3 linked regions of the Oryzias latipes genome follow. The protein of the gene in region 1 purifies or fractionates together with the protein of each later gene. This does not show direct contact. Links are inferred from orthologs where the notes say so. Each region holds a gene or a part of one and is shown in the gene's direction. Other genes may lie near its edges.

What was found. Proteins that work in one complex are often made in the same cells at the same time.
Region 2: the proteins of gtpbp4 (region 1) and nsa2 purify together in Homo sapiens (affinity purification with mass spectrometry; 3 studies listed by BioGRID and IntAct, counting the BioPlex papers as one, with this or other methods). This does not show direct contact. The link is inferred for Oryzias latipes from reciprocal best matches to the Homo sapiens genes GTPBP4 and NSA2.
Region 3: the proteins of gtpbp4 (region 1) and mrto4 purify together in Homo sapiens (affinity purification with mass spectrometry; 3 studies listed by BioGRID and IntAct, counting the BioPlex papers as one, with this or other methods). This does not show direct contact. The link is inferred for Oryzias latipes from reciprocal best matches to the Homo sapiens genes GTPBP4 and MRTO4.

Annotation. Positions count from the first base shown.
Region 1 is NC_019875.2:8,399,127-8,404,058, forward strand, and holds the start of gtpbp4 (nucleolar GTP-binding protein 1), read left to right. Parts: upstream 1-1,609; 5' UTR 1,610-1,695; coding exon 1,696-1,743; intron 1,744-2,134; coding exon 2,135-2,305; intron 2,306-2,379; coding exon 2,380-2,483; intron 2,484-2,887; coding exon 2,888-3,024; intron 3,025-3,117; coding exon 3,118-3,218; intron 3,219-3,354; coding exon 3,355-3,447; intron 3,448-4,787; coding exon 4,788-4,932. UniProt on the Homo sapiens protein: Involved in the biogenesis of the 60S ribosomal subunit. Acts as a TP53 repressor, preventing TP53 stabilization and cell cycle arrest.
Region 2 is NC_019870.2:5,749,561-5,754,345, forward strand, and holds nsa2 (ribosome biogenesis protein NSA2 homolog), read left to right. Parts: upstream 1-1,642; 5' UTR 1,643-1,795; coding exon 1,796-1,798; intron 1,799-2,443; coding exon 2,444-2,631; intron 2,632-2,705; coding exon 2,706-2,856; intron 2,857-2,943; coding exon 2,944-3,123; intron 3,124-3,226; coding exon 3,227-3,419; intron 3,420-3,527; coding exon 3,528-3,595; 3' UTR 3,596-3,795; downstream 3,796-4,785. Other genes in the region: gfm2 (ribosome-releasing factor 2, mitochondrial), read right to left, coding at 71-159, 234-359, 439-536, 632-677, 870-951, 1,154-1,162. UniProt on the Homo sapiens protein: Involved in the biogenesis of the 60S ribosomal subunit. May play a part in the quality control of pre-60S particles.
Region 3 is NC_019863.2:9,138,741-9,143,806, reverse strand, and holds the start of mrto4 (mRNA turnover protein 4 homolog), read left to right. Parts: upstream 1-1,776; 5' UTR 1,777-1,873; coding exon 1,874-1,901; intron 1,902-5,066. UniProt on the Homo sapiens protein: Component of the ribosome assembly machinery. Nuclear paralog of the ribosomal protein P0, it binds pre-60S subunits at an early stage of assembly in the nucleolus, and is replaced by P0 in cytoplasmic pre-60S subunits and mature 80S ribosomes.

The DNA of each region.
Region 1 (4,932 bases):
TTAGACACTGAAACAATCATGCATCTATTCTGGAAATGCACCCAAACAGCAACTTTTTGCAAAGACTTTACCTCTTTTGTTTAATGAAAAATGTATATGAAATTTGATCTAGTATACAAGGATATATTATTTGTTTTTATAATGTTAAACATTCACTAATAAGGGAATACTACTTAATTAACCTTTTAATAATACTAGCCAAATTTCATGTTCATAAATGCAAATTTTCTGAAAGAAAAGCCCCGATTCAAACTTTTTATGATTGAGTTAAACAAATAAACAAGAACAATAAAATCTTCTTCTAACCCCAAAGCTATAAGAACCTTTGACACTCTGGAATTTTTTAAGTGTACAGAATAGCAACTTGCAGCTTTTACTGCTCTTGTTTATGATCTTTTTTTTCCCTATGTTCTTTGTGTTCCCCTGGCATATTTTGTTACTCATTTTTCTATCTGTGTACTTTAAAGTTGACTTGATTTCGTACTAAGATCCTGTAAATCTTCAATAAAGATTTTTGAAAAAAAATAAATAAAAAGATATTTGCGCTCAAATTGGTTGGTTTGTGATAAAAGCCGTCACAACTTTTTTTTATGTCTTTAAAATTATGGAAAACGTTTGAAACATTCATAATAATAATAAAAACGTTACTTTTAAAATAATAAGTTTATGAAAAAAATATGTTTCTCTAATGAAAAGCCTGAGCAATTTAAATATCCCAAGCAGGCAACATAACATATAAAGTTTCAATAAAATAATAATAAGATTTGTAGCATTTTTTTTTTAAAAGAACTTTAGTTGTATGACACTTTTTACAAGAACATAATGTGAAAATTTGTCTTGAATATTCTAGAGAAACTTGTTGCAGATTTCATAGGAAAATGTCCTATGGTATGAGCAAAGCATAAATCATTTCACTGCAGTGAACCATTTTAAAAAGCAGATTGAAATGTAAGTGAGTTTTTTGTTTAAGCTTCAATTTAGCCAAAATCATGATGTTGATAATGATGATGATGACGATGATGAAGAAGAAGATGAGTTTTTGGATATTTAAAACATCAAAATTTTAAAAAATCAAATTTTTTTACAGATAACAAAAACACAGACAATCAGTCATAATAAAGTAGCAAGACACAATTCACAATCAGACACAGAAAGAAAGAAGAACACAGAATGAATAAAACTATAGAAAAGACAAAAATCTAAAAGAATAAATGGAAAAATAAATACAGAAAAGGTAACCAGGATGCAGAATTGAATGCAAATTTGCATCCCTTTTTTTTAAGTTTTTTTTAAACTTTATTGTTCAAAACAAATAGAAAAAATATGTATGACAAGAACAATAGTCATAACAACGAGAATGGGATGGTACATGTATTACAAAAGAAATATTACAGAAACATATTGATATGCATTGAAAATATTCAAAGACATACAGTTTTCATAAACATATATCGCCGTTTTGTTTAAGCTATTAGAAATAGTGTGCAAATAAGATTCGAATATGAATGTGCATCCCTTTTTTTGTAGACTTTAAAACTCTGTGCACGACGTAGAACTGTGAGTTCACAATCAGACGCTAGGGGGCGATGTCGGGAAAACGTCGACTCTAACGTTTCAACAGCCTTTTCCGGTTCGAGCGGAACCTCGTCTTTCCTCTTCTCCGTGCCGTTCGCGGACCTCAACGTGTCCGACAAGATGGCACTTTATAACTTTAAAAAAATTATGGTGGTTCCCACCGCCAAGGTAAGCTTTAATCAACGAATCCATGGTTTTAAAGTAGCTTCCGTTTCAGCCACGATTACAAGACGGCAAGAAGTGACGAACAAATAGAACGTTTTTTCAGAAGAGAGAAAACACGTGCTTGTTGTTCAGATCAGACGCTTAAGGCTCTTTCTGAGTTAGTGACCACAAATTGTACAAATAATTCAAGTGATCTTTCTTTTGTCAGTCTAAAAACACAGGTGATCCATTTCGTGAATGTTGTTCTTGTTGACAGTCTTGATTTCATGCGACATACATGTTAAGAAAATGGTTTCAAATGTAAAAAGACACTTTTTTTTTGATGAAACAGGATTTATTCATATCTGAAGGGTGGTTTGTGTTGACACTTGTTTTTTTCCCCCCTCTTCTTAAGGAATTTATCGACATCACCTTATCCAAAACCCAAAGGAAGACGCCCACAGTCGTACACAAACATTACCAGATTCACAGAATCAGACACTTTTACATGCGAAAAGTGAAATTCACCCAGCAGAACTACCATGACCGCCTCACACAGATCCTCACAGACTTCCCCAAACTGGACGTAAGTACCCATCCCTGGACTTTTGCCCGACTCCTGAGATGTGCTTGTTGAATAGCTGTGCTTGGTCTCTGCAGGATATCCACCCATTTTATGCTGATCTGATGAACGTGCTGTATGACAAGGACCACTACAAGCTGGCCTTGGGACAGATAAACATAGCTAAAAACTTAATTGACAAGTAAGTCTATTGGGGTTCCTTTGCTTTTTGTGGATGTGAAGATGCCTAACTCTGACATGAGCCAGTTGTCATGGTTACCTGGTTCTTTCCTTTCTTGGTCCAAATGGAATGACCAGCTGAAGAGTACTTGTTTTTTTTTCTGTTTATTTTCAAACACTTTCATTAATGTCCTTTTAACTATTTGGTGGCAGTCTGAACTTACAGTATTCGTTTTCGTAAACTCCCTCACTCATCTATAATGCTGTGTTTAGCTGATATTTGGATGCTGTAACTTCATTTTAAGTATTTTTGTTCTACTGATCAACCCAGATTAAAGCAGAGAGACTTGTTCTTTTAATTGTTGCAAATAAGAAGCCAAACCTGCCGCAGGAGCTATCAAGCATGTGTTTTTCTGCATCCTCCAGTGTTGCCAAAGACTATGTGCGCCTGATGAAATATGGAGACTCTCTGTATCGATGCAAACAGCTGAAGAGAGCCGCTCTGGGTCGAATGTGCACCATCCTGAAACGACAGAAGTCCAGTCTGGAGTATTTGGAACAAGGTGAACATTGCCCTGTGCTTGGTTTTATTGTTGTCAGAAGCCTAAATCAGAAGTTACCAACAGCCTCTTTGAATTGTGTTTCCACCCTCGCAGTGCGACAGCATCTGTCCCGTCTGCCGAGCATCGACCCCAACACCCGGACCCTTCTCCTGTGTGGTTACCCCAACGTGGGCAAGTCCAGCTTCATCAACAAGGTGATTGGTTTGAAGTACTCTTGAATAAACTGGATGCAGACTCCGTCATATGTGAGCATGCTGCTGACTGTCGTGTGTTCGAGCTGCTTGACTAAGCTGTTTCCGGAACGGGGTTAACATACATGTTCCTCATCAGGTCACCAGAGCTGATGTTGATGTCCAGCCTTATGCCTTCACCACCAAATCCCTGTTTGTGGGTCACATGGACTACAGATACCTCCGCTGGCAGGTGAGACGCTGCACCTGGTTGTCTTTCAGCGTCAGATTAGTCCTAATTAATCCATTTAATTTGATGTCACAAGCAAGGACTCTGTATTGATGAAAGCCAGGAGAGTCAACCATCGTGATATGGGGGTTTGTTGGGGTGGGAAACGTTAATGCCTCACGGGGGGGGGGGGGGGGGGGGGGTAGGTGCTGAGACAAGAGAGAGCAACAGACAGTAATTGTCCAAGCGGTGCAGTTGCTGACCAGTTGTAGCGTGTTTAGCGATTATTAAGACGAGGCTGAGGAGGAGAGTTACAGTACTTGGTGGGGCTGTGGATCAGGATCAAAGGGTTTTGGGGGGTGAATCTATCTATCTATCTATCTATTGATACCACGCAGATGGGAATATGTAGACTGGGTGATGATGTTGAAGTGATTACCAGAGATGAAACCATAAACTTTTCCCATAATTTGGCTCAAACCTCGATCTTTGGCTCACAGCTTTGTTACAATTTGATATTTCTCTGCAGTATTCCTTCGCTATGTCGAAATTAACCTTTCCCAGATCTTTCTGAGCAAAACCCCGCTCTAAAATCTGCTGGAGATCTTGTCGATCAATCTCCTCTGTGGCGTGCCTCCTGTGCAGTGTGTTCAGTTTGCCACATTTCCAAAATTCTATGATAACGAGCAGATCTTCCTTCTCATTCGACAATACTAGAGTTATACTGGAGTTTAAACAAGAGACAGAAGTGTGAAAATGTGTGTCTGTCTGAGGAAAGTGTATTAAGTGTGTAGTGAGGGATTCTGTAATTTCTCCTATTGCGAGTTATTTATAGAATGAAACCTCCACAGTAAAGGAGGGAACACTGTAATGCAACACAACAAAAAGCTAAAAAGAAAAGCCCTGTAAGCAACAGTTCTGCTGGCTTATACTAGACCTGGTAAAATGATAAATAATAAAGCTTTCTCCAATGTAGCCTAATAGCTTTGACACTTAAACTTTCTAAGATGCAGTGGGGAGGATGCAACGCTTCACTTTTCCCACAATAATGTTTAGTTGCGTAACATACGGTTTCAGGTTTAAACAGAATTGTGACATCCCTAGTGATTTCTAAATGATAGGTAGTTTGCCCTTTTTACATGGGTAACCATGAAGTCCACAGAAGGAAATGTTAACTTTTGAGGAGGGGGACTTAAAACCAACAAGTAGTATTTCTGTTTTGTCAGCATTGAATTGAATGAAAACCACGCTTTGATGTCTGAGAGAAAACTTTCCGTGCTGTCCTCATTAAAGAGCTATAAATGTGCTTGGAGTTGCCTTAAATCAATGTGGACTGCATGTTTCCTGTCTGTCTGTTTGTGCAGGTGGTGGACACCCCCGGAATCCTGGACCACCCCCTGGAGGACAGGAACACCATTGAGATGCAGGCCATCACGGCGCTGGCTCACCTGCGAGCGGCCGTGCTTTACGTCATGGATCTGTCTGAGCAGTGCGGCCACACGCTGCAGG
Region 2 (4,785 bases), on another chromosome or scaffold:
CAGCTGTTAAAACTGTGAAATACTCAACAACAACAAAAAAAAAAAACCCAACAAATTTTTTTCTCTTAACCTCCACACCAGCAGACGCGTCAAACACGGCGACGGCTCCATCCAGAACGCGAAGCGCCCGCTCCACCTCCAGAGTAAAGTCAACGTGTCCTGCAGTCACACAAACATCTCTGTCTGCTCCTCATTTGAATGTGATCCACGCTTTGAGAGGCAGAGCATTTTACCTGGAGTGTCTATGAGGTTTATTCTGTGACTGTTCCAGTCGAAGGTGACTGCTGCCGACTGTATGGTGATGCCGCGCTCCCTCTCCTGAGCCATAAAATCTGTGACTGTATCCCCGTCGTCAACATCTACCAGCAGACAGAAAGAATAAACTAAGCAAAAGCGGTGAGAGCTCTGAGAAACAAAAACTGAGGCACGCGTCTGCACCTCCTAATGCCCTCGTATAGCCAGAGTAGTACAGCATCCTCTCTGTTGTGGTGGTTTTTCCTGCATCAATGTGGGCCATGATGCCAATATTTCGAATCCTGCGGGGTCAGATCACAGCTCAGCACAAGCATCGGAACAGAATTTGCTGATGCATTTCTAAAAAACAATCTGTCTTTCAAGAGCTAAAACGTACTTGGATATGTCAGGGGTGACCACAGCCCGCAGCGACTTAACATCATCTGTCACAACAGGATAAATCATTTAAAATCAGATTTCCAGCATACCGATGCATGGCAACAAATATTAAAAAGGTGAAAAAATCCCCAAATTTTCAATATCTGTAGAAAATGGACAGAGATCTACATCCTCACAACCTGAAACATATCGGTGGATTCAATATGCTACAGCGTCTGATCATAAACCAAACCTACCTGGAAGAAATCCATACTGTCTCTTTATAAAGCTGACTTTACATCTGCAGCTCTGTCGGCCAGCGGACACCAAACACCGTCCCTGTACATTAAATATAAGAAATCTTTTTGTTTGTGCTTTTACACTTAAGTTGCAGCTTTGAGATTTGGGGAAACACACATCCAACCAACATGAACTTATGTTTATGCTACAATACAGCAATAATGGTTTTTCACACAAGCTAAATAAACAATAAGACATGATTACAGTATTTGAAAAAGAATATTTTTAAATGATTTCTTACCCAAAGCATTCTGCTAATTGTGAAGCTGACAGGCTTCACCTTTTGCTAGAAACTCCTTTCCAATCCTCAATGCTCCAAACATGTAATGATACGTTCAGATTTATGCAGACTGAGAGAAGCGTCTAGCGGCTACATAAATATACCGAAACTTAGAGTTAAATTCTTCGTTATGCACATGTTATAAAAAATAATACAAATCGTTAAAATACCCTTGACAGCCGAAACAGGCATGTAACTTGTTTGAGACATGTTGTACACAACCTAAAATATACCCTCTAGAAACAACCCAACTGTTCTTTTTAGTTCCGTCAATAAATCGAAAACCTCACTTTGTCTATCCAAGTCTAATATGTTCTAAAATAGTCTTTTAAATATATTTAATAAATACTGTTATTTTCTTAATATATATTATTGACAACAGCGGGTCAGAATAAATATTTTTGTACAACTTTGCAGGTTTCTTGCAACGTACCGGATGTGTTGTAGATCAAGTGATGACGTATTTCCTCTACACATCGGCACGGGGGACAACAACACCGATAACCCCCAGCCTGGAAAGAAAAACCCAAAATAATCGGTGTATTTCGTAACTGCAACGATATTTGAAATATTAACAATCATACTTAACATCTCCAGCGCAAAATGGTGAGAAGCGTAATACTTTTAGTTTTGTTTTTGTTCACATTAAAGCGGCTAAGCGCGTTAGCATGTTATGCTAGTGTTAGCTGCGTGGGGCGACTTCACGTGTTGCTATAAATTTTAAGTTTATGGGTTTTTTTGGCATTATATATATCGCAAACTACTGAATGAAATGATTTCAGTACTGTATTTTCATCAGGGGAAACTAATAATTCCCAGTTTTATATAAACTAAACTGGAGCTAGTACTATCCGGGAGATTTTTGACGCACAACTATTGATTCGTAACACTTGTGGGTTTTTTTTCTGGAGAAATTTGCTCATTTGAAGGAAATCTGTTAACTGTGATTAAGTGGGTACATAGATGTTATGCTCCTACTTGTAATACAAATTCTAAGTCATAATTTCAACCTAAATCTTACAGCCATAACGGAAAATAAATTCAATGTTTGTTGCATTATTACACATCACTTGTGCACTTGTGTACAGATGCCAGTGACCCCTGGAAATGCCTTTATGTTAAATTGGATGCAATTAAAATGTTTTGAATGTGTCACCTAAAAACTCTGTACGTTACTCTATGTAAATAATTTTGTAAAATTAGAATTATTCTATTTTGAGATTCAAAACCACTTCTTTTTTGTGAATGTAGCCTCAGAACGAACACATTGAGCTGCACCGCAAGCGGCATGGCTACCGCCTCGACCATCACGAGAGGAAAAGGAAGAAGGAGAGTAGGGAGGCTCACGAGCGCTCCCACAAAGCCAAGAAACTGATCGGCTTGAAGGCCAAACTGTACCACAAACAGAGACATGCAGAGAAGATCCAGATGAAGAAGACGTGAGTAACGTTGGAAAAGTATGATCATTTCTTTGCTGTTACACAGAGTTCAACACACGACTCTTTGTTTATAGCATCAAAATGCACGAACAGAGGAAAACTAAGCAGAAGAATGACGACAAGACGCCAGAGGGAGCAGTCCCAGCCTACCTGCTGGACAGAGAAGGACAGTCCAGAGCAAAGGTGCTCTCCAACATGATTAAACAGAAAAGGAAGGAGAAGGCTGTAAGTAGAAGCCCTGCAGAGTTTATATTTTTAAACCACAGAAACCCAAATTTGATGTGCTTTTTGTGAATTGTTTTCCGTGTGCAGGGTAAATGGGAGGTGCCTTTGCCAAAGGTGCGTGCTCAAGGAGAGACTGAAGTACTGAAAGTCATCAAAACAGGGAAGAGGCAGAAGAAAGCGTGGAAGAGGATGGTCACTAAAGTGTGCTTTGTCGGGGACGGCTTCACACGTAAACCTCCAAAGTACGAGCGCTTCATCCGGCCCATGGTGAGAAGACGGGACGCTTCTGTTTAGGATTTTCTACAGTCAGATCTGCTTCAAATCAAAGACCCTGAAAACCTTAAGCACGTCTCCTTCGTGTTTCTTTTAGGGTTTGCGCTTTAAAAAGGCTCACGTCACTCATCCAGAGCTGAAAGCAACGTTCTGTCTCCCCATCCTCGGAGTGAAGAAGAACCCCTCCTCCCCCCTCTACACGTCTCTGGGCGTCATCACGAAGGGAACAGTGATAGAAGTCAATGTCAGCGAGCTGGGCCTGGTTACACAAGGAGGAAAGGTTATCTGGGGTGAGTTATCCATTCTGGTTCCAGCTGCACAGTACCGACAGTTTCAGCTTTAAAGTGTGGTTGAATCTAACTTGAGTTGGTGTTTTCGGTCTCTGTGTTGCTTTCCAGGTAAATACGCCCAGGTAACAAACAACCCAGAGAACGACGGCTGCATCAACGCCGTTTTGCTCGTCTGAGACTCAGAATGCCCGCTAACTGTGCCTGCCTACTCTTAATTTATGTTTAAGAGTACAGATTACATCAAAGATGCTTTGGACTTTGTTTCTTGGACCGTTTGGAATATCGGAAAGGTTGCTCGGAGCATTTTCTGCAACAAGGAGAAACTGAGAGAAAAAGGTGTTAAATTTCAAATAAATAAAACAAAACTTTAACGTTTTCTTGAATTGTTTGAACCAGTATTGTTTAGTAGGTGGAAGAATGGTATAATTTGACAGGTTTTTACATACAAAAGAATAAAATGCAACCACATTACCCAAAGCACAACGAAATTACCCGCAACAGAAATTAGGACTTTTTTTTGCTATCGGCGAAAAAACCCAATTCAGTCTCAAACTATTCGGCGCTCCTGAGAGCTACGTGATATTTGGACAAGATTAGGGTGTTTTCTTACTAGATAACGTCTTTTTTTTTTTTTAATGACTTAAGTCGTTTTAAAAAAACGCTGTTTTATTAGCCTGTCGAAAAACTCATCCTTTCATGTAAGTTATACTGTCAGAACAAAACATGTTTTTATTTTATTTTTATTGATGGGTAATGCCATAAAGACCCACTGTGGTTATCTGTTGATCTATTGTAGAAACGTTCCCAGTGGGTTTTTAATTAGGATTATGCTCTTTTTAGGTCAAATCTAAAAAACATGTCATTTTTGAGGACAATGTTTCTGCAGATTGGTTGTAGTTCATTTGAAAAGCAATTTTAAGATTAAAATTTCTTTACATAGATTCTCCAAAATCAGCAAAATATCCCGTTAACAGTTTCCATCAGTGGGTCTTTGTTGGTTTCTGCTGATATAAACTGAGCAGAAAAATGTCAAGTTCAACTTTATCTTATTGAACCCTGCTATTCTTTTGAAGTATTTCATTTCAAAAATCAGTGTTTTTATTGCAAACTAAAGTGCTGCTATAGTTTACCCAACACTAAACTCACCCTTAAAAATGTAAACATTGGTGACAAACGGCCAACCGACGGAAAGATTCACACATTTGGTGAAAAGGGATCGACTTCTTTATACCAACATTACCCAACTTCATTCTGTTTGCTGCTCAGTCATGAGAAAAGACAAATAACATCTTTAGGCTCTGATTTTTCTAAGTTCAGCAACTTAATAGACCTTTTTTTAAGTCAGAATAAGACATTTCAGATAAAA
Region 3 (5,066 bases), on another chromosome or scaffold:
ATTGGAATTTCACTGTAATTTTGAATGCATTTCTCTGAAAGTTGATTTTGGTTTGATTCCTTTCAATGTGAAGAAATGAAAAGTTTCCCATTGGAGAAAAAAAATCAATCAATCGGTTCATTTGCATTTTATGTTATAACGGTACAAATAATGCAAAACAAAGGTTGGCCCTAACACATTTTCACCACACCAAATCTGGCCCTTTTTGCAAAAGTTTGGACACCTCTGCTTTAATAGCATTTTCAGTGGTGTTTTCCTTGTTTTTCCACTTTATACCATAATAGATCTATATGTTCTATTGTTACGTGAAGCCCTAACACTTTTTGTGTTTCTTAAAGTTACATATTGTTCCTGAAGTAGCTGTCCAAACTGGATTTTTGGGTTACAAAAATGATAGATTTGCTCTATTCTATTACAAAGAGGTAAACAGAAACAATTTGTACCTGTACTGCATTGCTTTGACTGTGTGTGCTGCTTCTCTGTGGCTCAGGTGCTGTTTTGTAGGTTAATCTGTTCATAATCCCCACCAGATGGCAGCTATAATGGGCATAAAAGCTTCAGTGTGTACAGGAGTACGGAAAAGAATATGCAATAAATCTTTTCCTGCAATAACATTCAAGAAAGTATATGATTGATAAGGGCATTTGAAGTATTAATAGCTGTTTTGCAAAATCAGTGCCCAGCTGTTTCAAAATGATCTTTATGGTGCATCACACTGAGTAAGTGAAGCAAGTAAGCCAACACATGATCTGCCCTCCAGTTTTCCCTGATTGGCACTGCTAGGTGTTCACATGATGGTATTTGGAGCAGTAACACTACACCGATGTTCAGTTCCTAGTGTGAAGCAGGTGACCCATTTGTGTTATCAGAGCCAAAGGTTTTTTGTGTTAGTTTCCTAAATAGGCGGTGTAGGTACCGGATGTTCTCGGGTTGCCGGATGTTCTCGGGGTCCTTCAGGGTCCTTCCAATGAGTTCTATCACTAGAGGAGACATCACGTGGTTCCTCATGGGAGGAGAGCACCGCCATCTTGGTGAGGTCAAGTTTTGAAGACCAAACCACTTTTATAACATTTAATAAAGAGCTCTGTTTTTGCTTTCAATCACTTCATTATATGAAAAAGAAGAATGGCTTGAAATTGCTTAGTTTTGTTCAGAAATAAAAACTTCACGAGTACCCCTAACTTAACTAGTATTAGACTACTTAGATTTTTTCTATGTTCCTTTATTTTATTTTACTTATGTTTTTATTTATTTGTGTGTTATGTTCATTGTTTCTTTTTTTCCCCTCTATTATGTATTTTCTATGTCAATATGTTATATTTGGCAATGGTGACTGATCTTCGAGGCAATATTGATTACATCGTTATTGTTCGTTGTTAACGTTAATGTCATTGTTAATGTATGATACCGCAATTGTCAATAAAGTTTTTTAAAAAACTTAGCTACGTTAACTCATTGGTCGTGGCAACTTACAGCCAATCAAATAGTGTGACGTCATCATTGGTCGAAGGACCCCGAAGGACCCCGAGAACATCCGGCAACCCGAGAACATCCGGTACCCTATCAAAGTTTGTCCACAACGTTGCAGAGTTTAGAAGTCCACATATTTCTTCAGGCATTAGAACAAAACTAATTACATGTTTGATACATAAATTAATTAATGGATAAAATATGTTAGAATGTGGGGGGAATGCATCACCAATGAGTTTAATGCGTTTAGTTTAGGTAAATCATTGTTTAAAGTAATTTCAATAAAAAAAAAAACCTGATAATTCTTTTTATTTTTAATCAGGCGCTGTGTGGTCATCTTACAGGAAAAGAAACATTTGGGGTCCTTTTGCTTCACGTGCGCTGTCTGCCAACGTGAACAACCATGCCCAAGTCAAAGAGAGACAAGAAAAGTAAGAAATTAAAAGTTTATATTGATGTGTTTGGTATATTTATTCGATTCCAGTTTTTAAAACCTGTTACCGACTTAAAGCACTCGTTTTTCGGTCGTGGACGTTTTATAAGCTAACAAAAATTAGCACAAATGTGTTACGCGATGCGCTGTAAAGCAATCTAGCCACAGGGGTTGCAAGCCAGTTGCCTCTGTGCCGGTCCCAAGCCCGGATAAATAGAGAGGGTTGCGTCAGGAAGGGCATCCGGCGTAAAAATTGCCAAAATAACCATGCGAATCATCCACAACACTTTTGACATACCGGATCGGTCGAGGCCCGGGTTAACAACGACCGCCACCGATGCTGTTAACCTACAGGGTGTCGGTGGAAATTTGACTACTGTTGGTCGAAGAAAGAGGGGAGGCAGAAGGGTCCGTGGCCAGAGAGAGAAGGGAAAAGGCAGGAACATAGGTTTGAGAATAGGGACTCTTAACGTTGGCACAATGACAGGGAAAGGCAGAGAGCTGGCAGACATGATGGAGAGAAGGAAGGTAGATGTACTGTGTGTGCAGGAGACAAGGTGGAAGGGCAGCAAGGCACGTAGTATTGGAGGAGGATACAAACTGTTCTATCATGGTGTTGATAGGAAGAGAAACGGGGTAGGTGTGATTCTGAAGGGGGAGTTTGTAAACAGTGTTCTAGAGGTGAAAAGAGTCTCAGACAGGATGATGAGCCTAAAGTTAGAAATTGAAGGGGTGATGGTGAATGTAGTCAGTGGGTATGCGCCACAGGTTGGCTGTGAGTTAGAAGTGAAGGAGAGATTCTGGAGTGAGTTGGATGAGGTCATAGAGAGTATCCCCAGAGGAGAGAGAGTTGTTATTGGAGCAGACTTTAATGGGCATGTTGGTGAGGGCAACAGAGGTGATGAGGAGGTGATGGGCAGGTTTGGTGTGAATGAAAGGAATCTGGAGGGACAGATGGTGGTGGACTTTGCGAAGAGGATGGAAATGGCTGTAGTCAACACTTACTTCCAGAAGAGAGAGGAACATAGAGTGACATACAGAAGTGGAGGTAGGAGTACTCAGGTGGACTACATCCTATGTAGACGAGGTCATTTGAGAGAGGTTAATGACTGCAAAGTGGTGGTAGGAGAGAGTGTAGCCAAACAGCACCGCATGGTGGTGTGTAAGATGACTCTGGAGGTCAGGAAGAAGAAGAGAGGGAAAACAGAAAAGAAGACCAAGTGGTGGAAGCTACAGAATGAAGAAACTTGTGAGGAATTTAGGCAGAAGTTGAGGCAGGTCCTGGGTGGTCAGGATGAGCTTCCAGATGACTGGGAAACTACAGCAGAGATTATCAGGGAAACAGGTAGGAAGGTGCTAGGTGTGTCATCTGGAAAGAGGAAAGACGGTAAAGAGACTTGGTGGTGGAATGAGGAAGTACAGGAATGCGTCCAGAGGAAGAGGTTGGCTAAAAGGAAGTGGGATGTAGAAAGGACTGAGGAAGGTAGACATGAGTACAAGGAAGCGCAGCGTAGAGTGAAGAGAGAGGTGGCAAAGGCCAAACAGAAAGCTTACGATGAGCTATATGACAGGTTAGACACAAAGGAAGGAGAGAAGGACTTGTACAGGCTAGCCAGACAGAGAGACAGAGATGGGAAGGACGTGCAACAGATAAGGGTGATTAAGGACAGAGACGGAAAGGTGCTAACAACCCAGGAGAGTGTACAGAAAAGATGGAAGGAGTATTTTGAGGAGCTGATGAACGAGGAAAATGACAGGGAAAGAAGGGAGGAAGATGTGGTTGTTGTGGAGCAGGAAGTAGCAGAGATTGGAAAGGATGAGGTTAGGAAGGCTCTGAAAAGGATGAAGAGCGGAAAGGCCGTTGGTCCTGATGACGTACCTGTGGAGGTATGGAAGTGCTTAGGAGAGACAGCAGTGGAATTTCTAACGAGTTTTTTCAATAGGATTCTAGAGAGTGAGAAGATGCCTGAGGAATGGAGGAGAAGCGTTCTGGTTCCGATCTTTAAGAACAAGGGTGACACGCAGAACTGCAGCAACTATAGAGGAATAAAGTTGATGAGCCACACAATGAAGCTGTGGGAAAGAGTAGTGGAAGCCAGGCTTAGGAAGAAGGTGGAGATTTGTGAGCAGCAGTATGGTTTCATGCCCCGTAAGAGCACCACTGATGCCATTTTTGCTTTGAGAATGTTGATGGAAAAGTACAGAGAAGGTCAGAAGGAGCTGCATTGTGTGTTCGTAGATTTAGAGAAGGCGTATGACAGGGTGCCGAGGGAGGAGCTGTGGTACTGTATGAGGTCGTCTGGAGTGGCAGAGAAGTATGTCAGAGTAGTTCAGGACATGTATGAGAGAAGTATGACGGTGGTGAGATGTGCTGTAGGTCAGACAGAGGAGTTCAAGGTGGAGGTGGGACTACACCAAGGATCAGCTTTGAGTCCTTTTTTGTTTGCTATGCTGATGGACAGGCTGACAGACGAGGTAAGACAGGAATCTCCCTGGACAATGATGTTTGCGGATGACATCGTAATTTGCAGTGAGAGTAGAGAGCAGGTGGAGGAACAGCTAGAGAGGTGGAGGTTTGCTCTGGAAAGAAGAGGCATGAAGGTCAGTCGTAGTAAGACAGAATACATGTGTCTGAACGAGAGGGATCAAGGTAGAAGCGTTAGGTTACAGGGGGCTGAGGTGAAGAAGGTGCAGGAGTTTAAGTACTTGGGGTCAACAGTTCAGTGTGATGGGGAGTGTGGAAAAGAGGTGAAGAGGCGAGTGCAGGCAGGTTGGAGCGGGTGGAGGAAAGTGTCAGGAGTGTTGTGTGACAGAAGAGTGCCAGCAAGACTCAAAGGAAAGGTGTACAAGACAGTGGTGAGACCAGCTCTGCTCTATGGGTTAGAGACGGTAGCAGTGAGACAGAGACAAGAGGCTGAGATGGAGGTAGCGGAGATGAAGATGTTGAGGTTCTCCTTAGGAGTGACCAGGTTAGACAGGATAAGGAACGAGTACATCAGAGGGACGGCTCATGTTGCCTGTGTTAGCGACAAAGTCAGAGAAGCCAGACTGAGATGGTTTGGACATGTTCAGAGGAGGGATAGTGGATATATTGGTAGAAGGATGTTGGAGATGGAGCTGCCTGGCAGGAGGGCAAGAGGACGGCCAAAGAGGAGATACATGG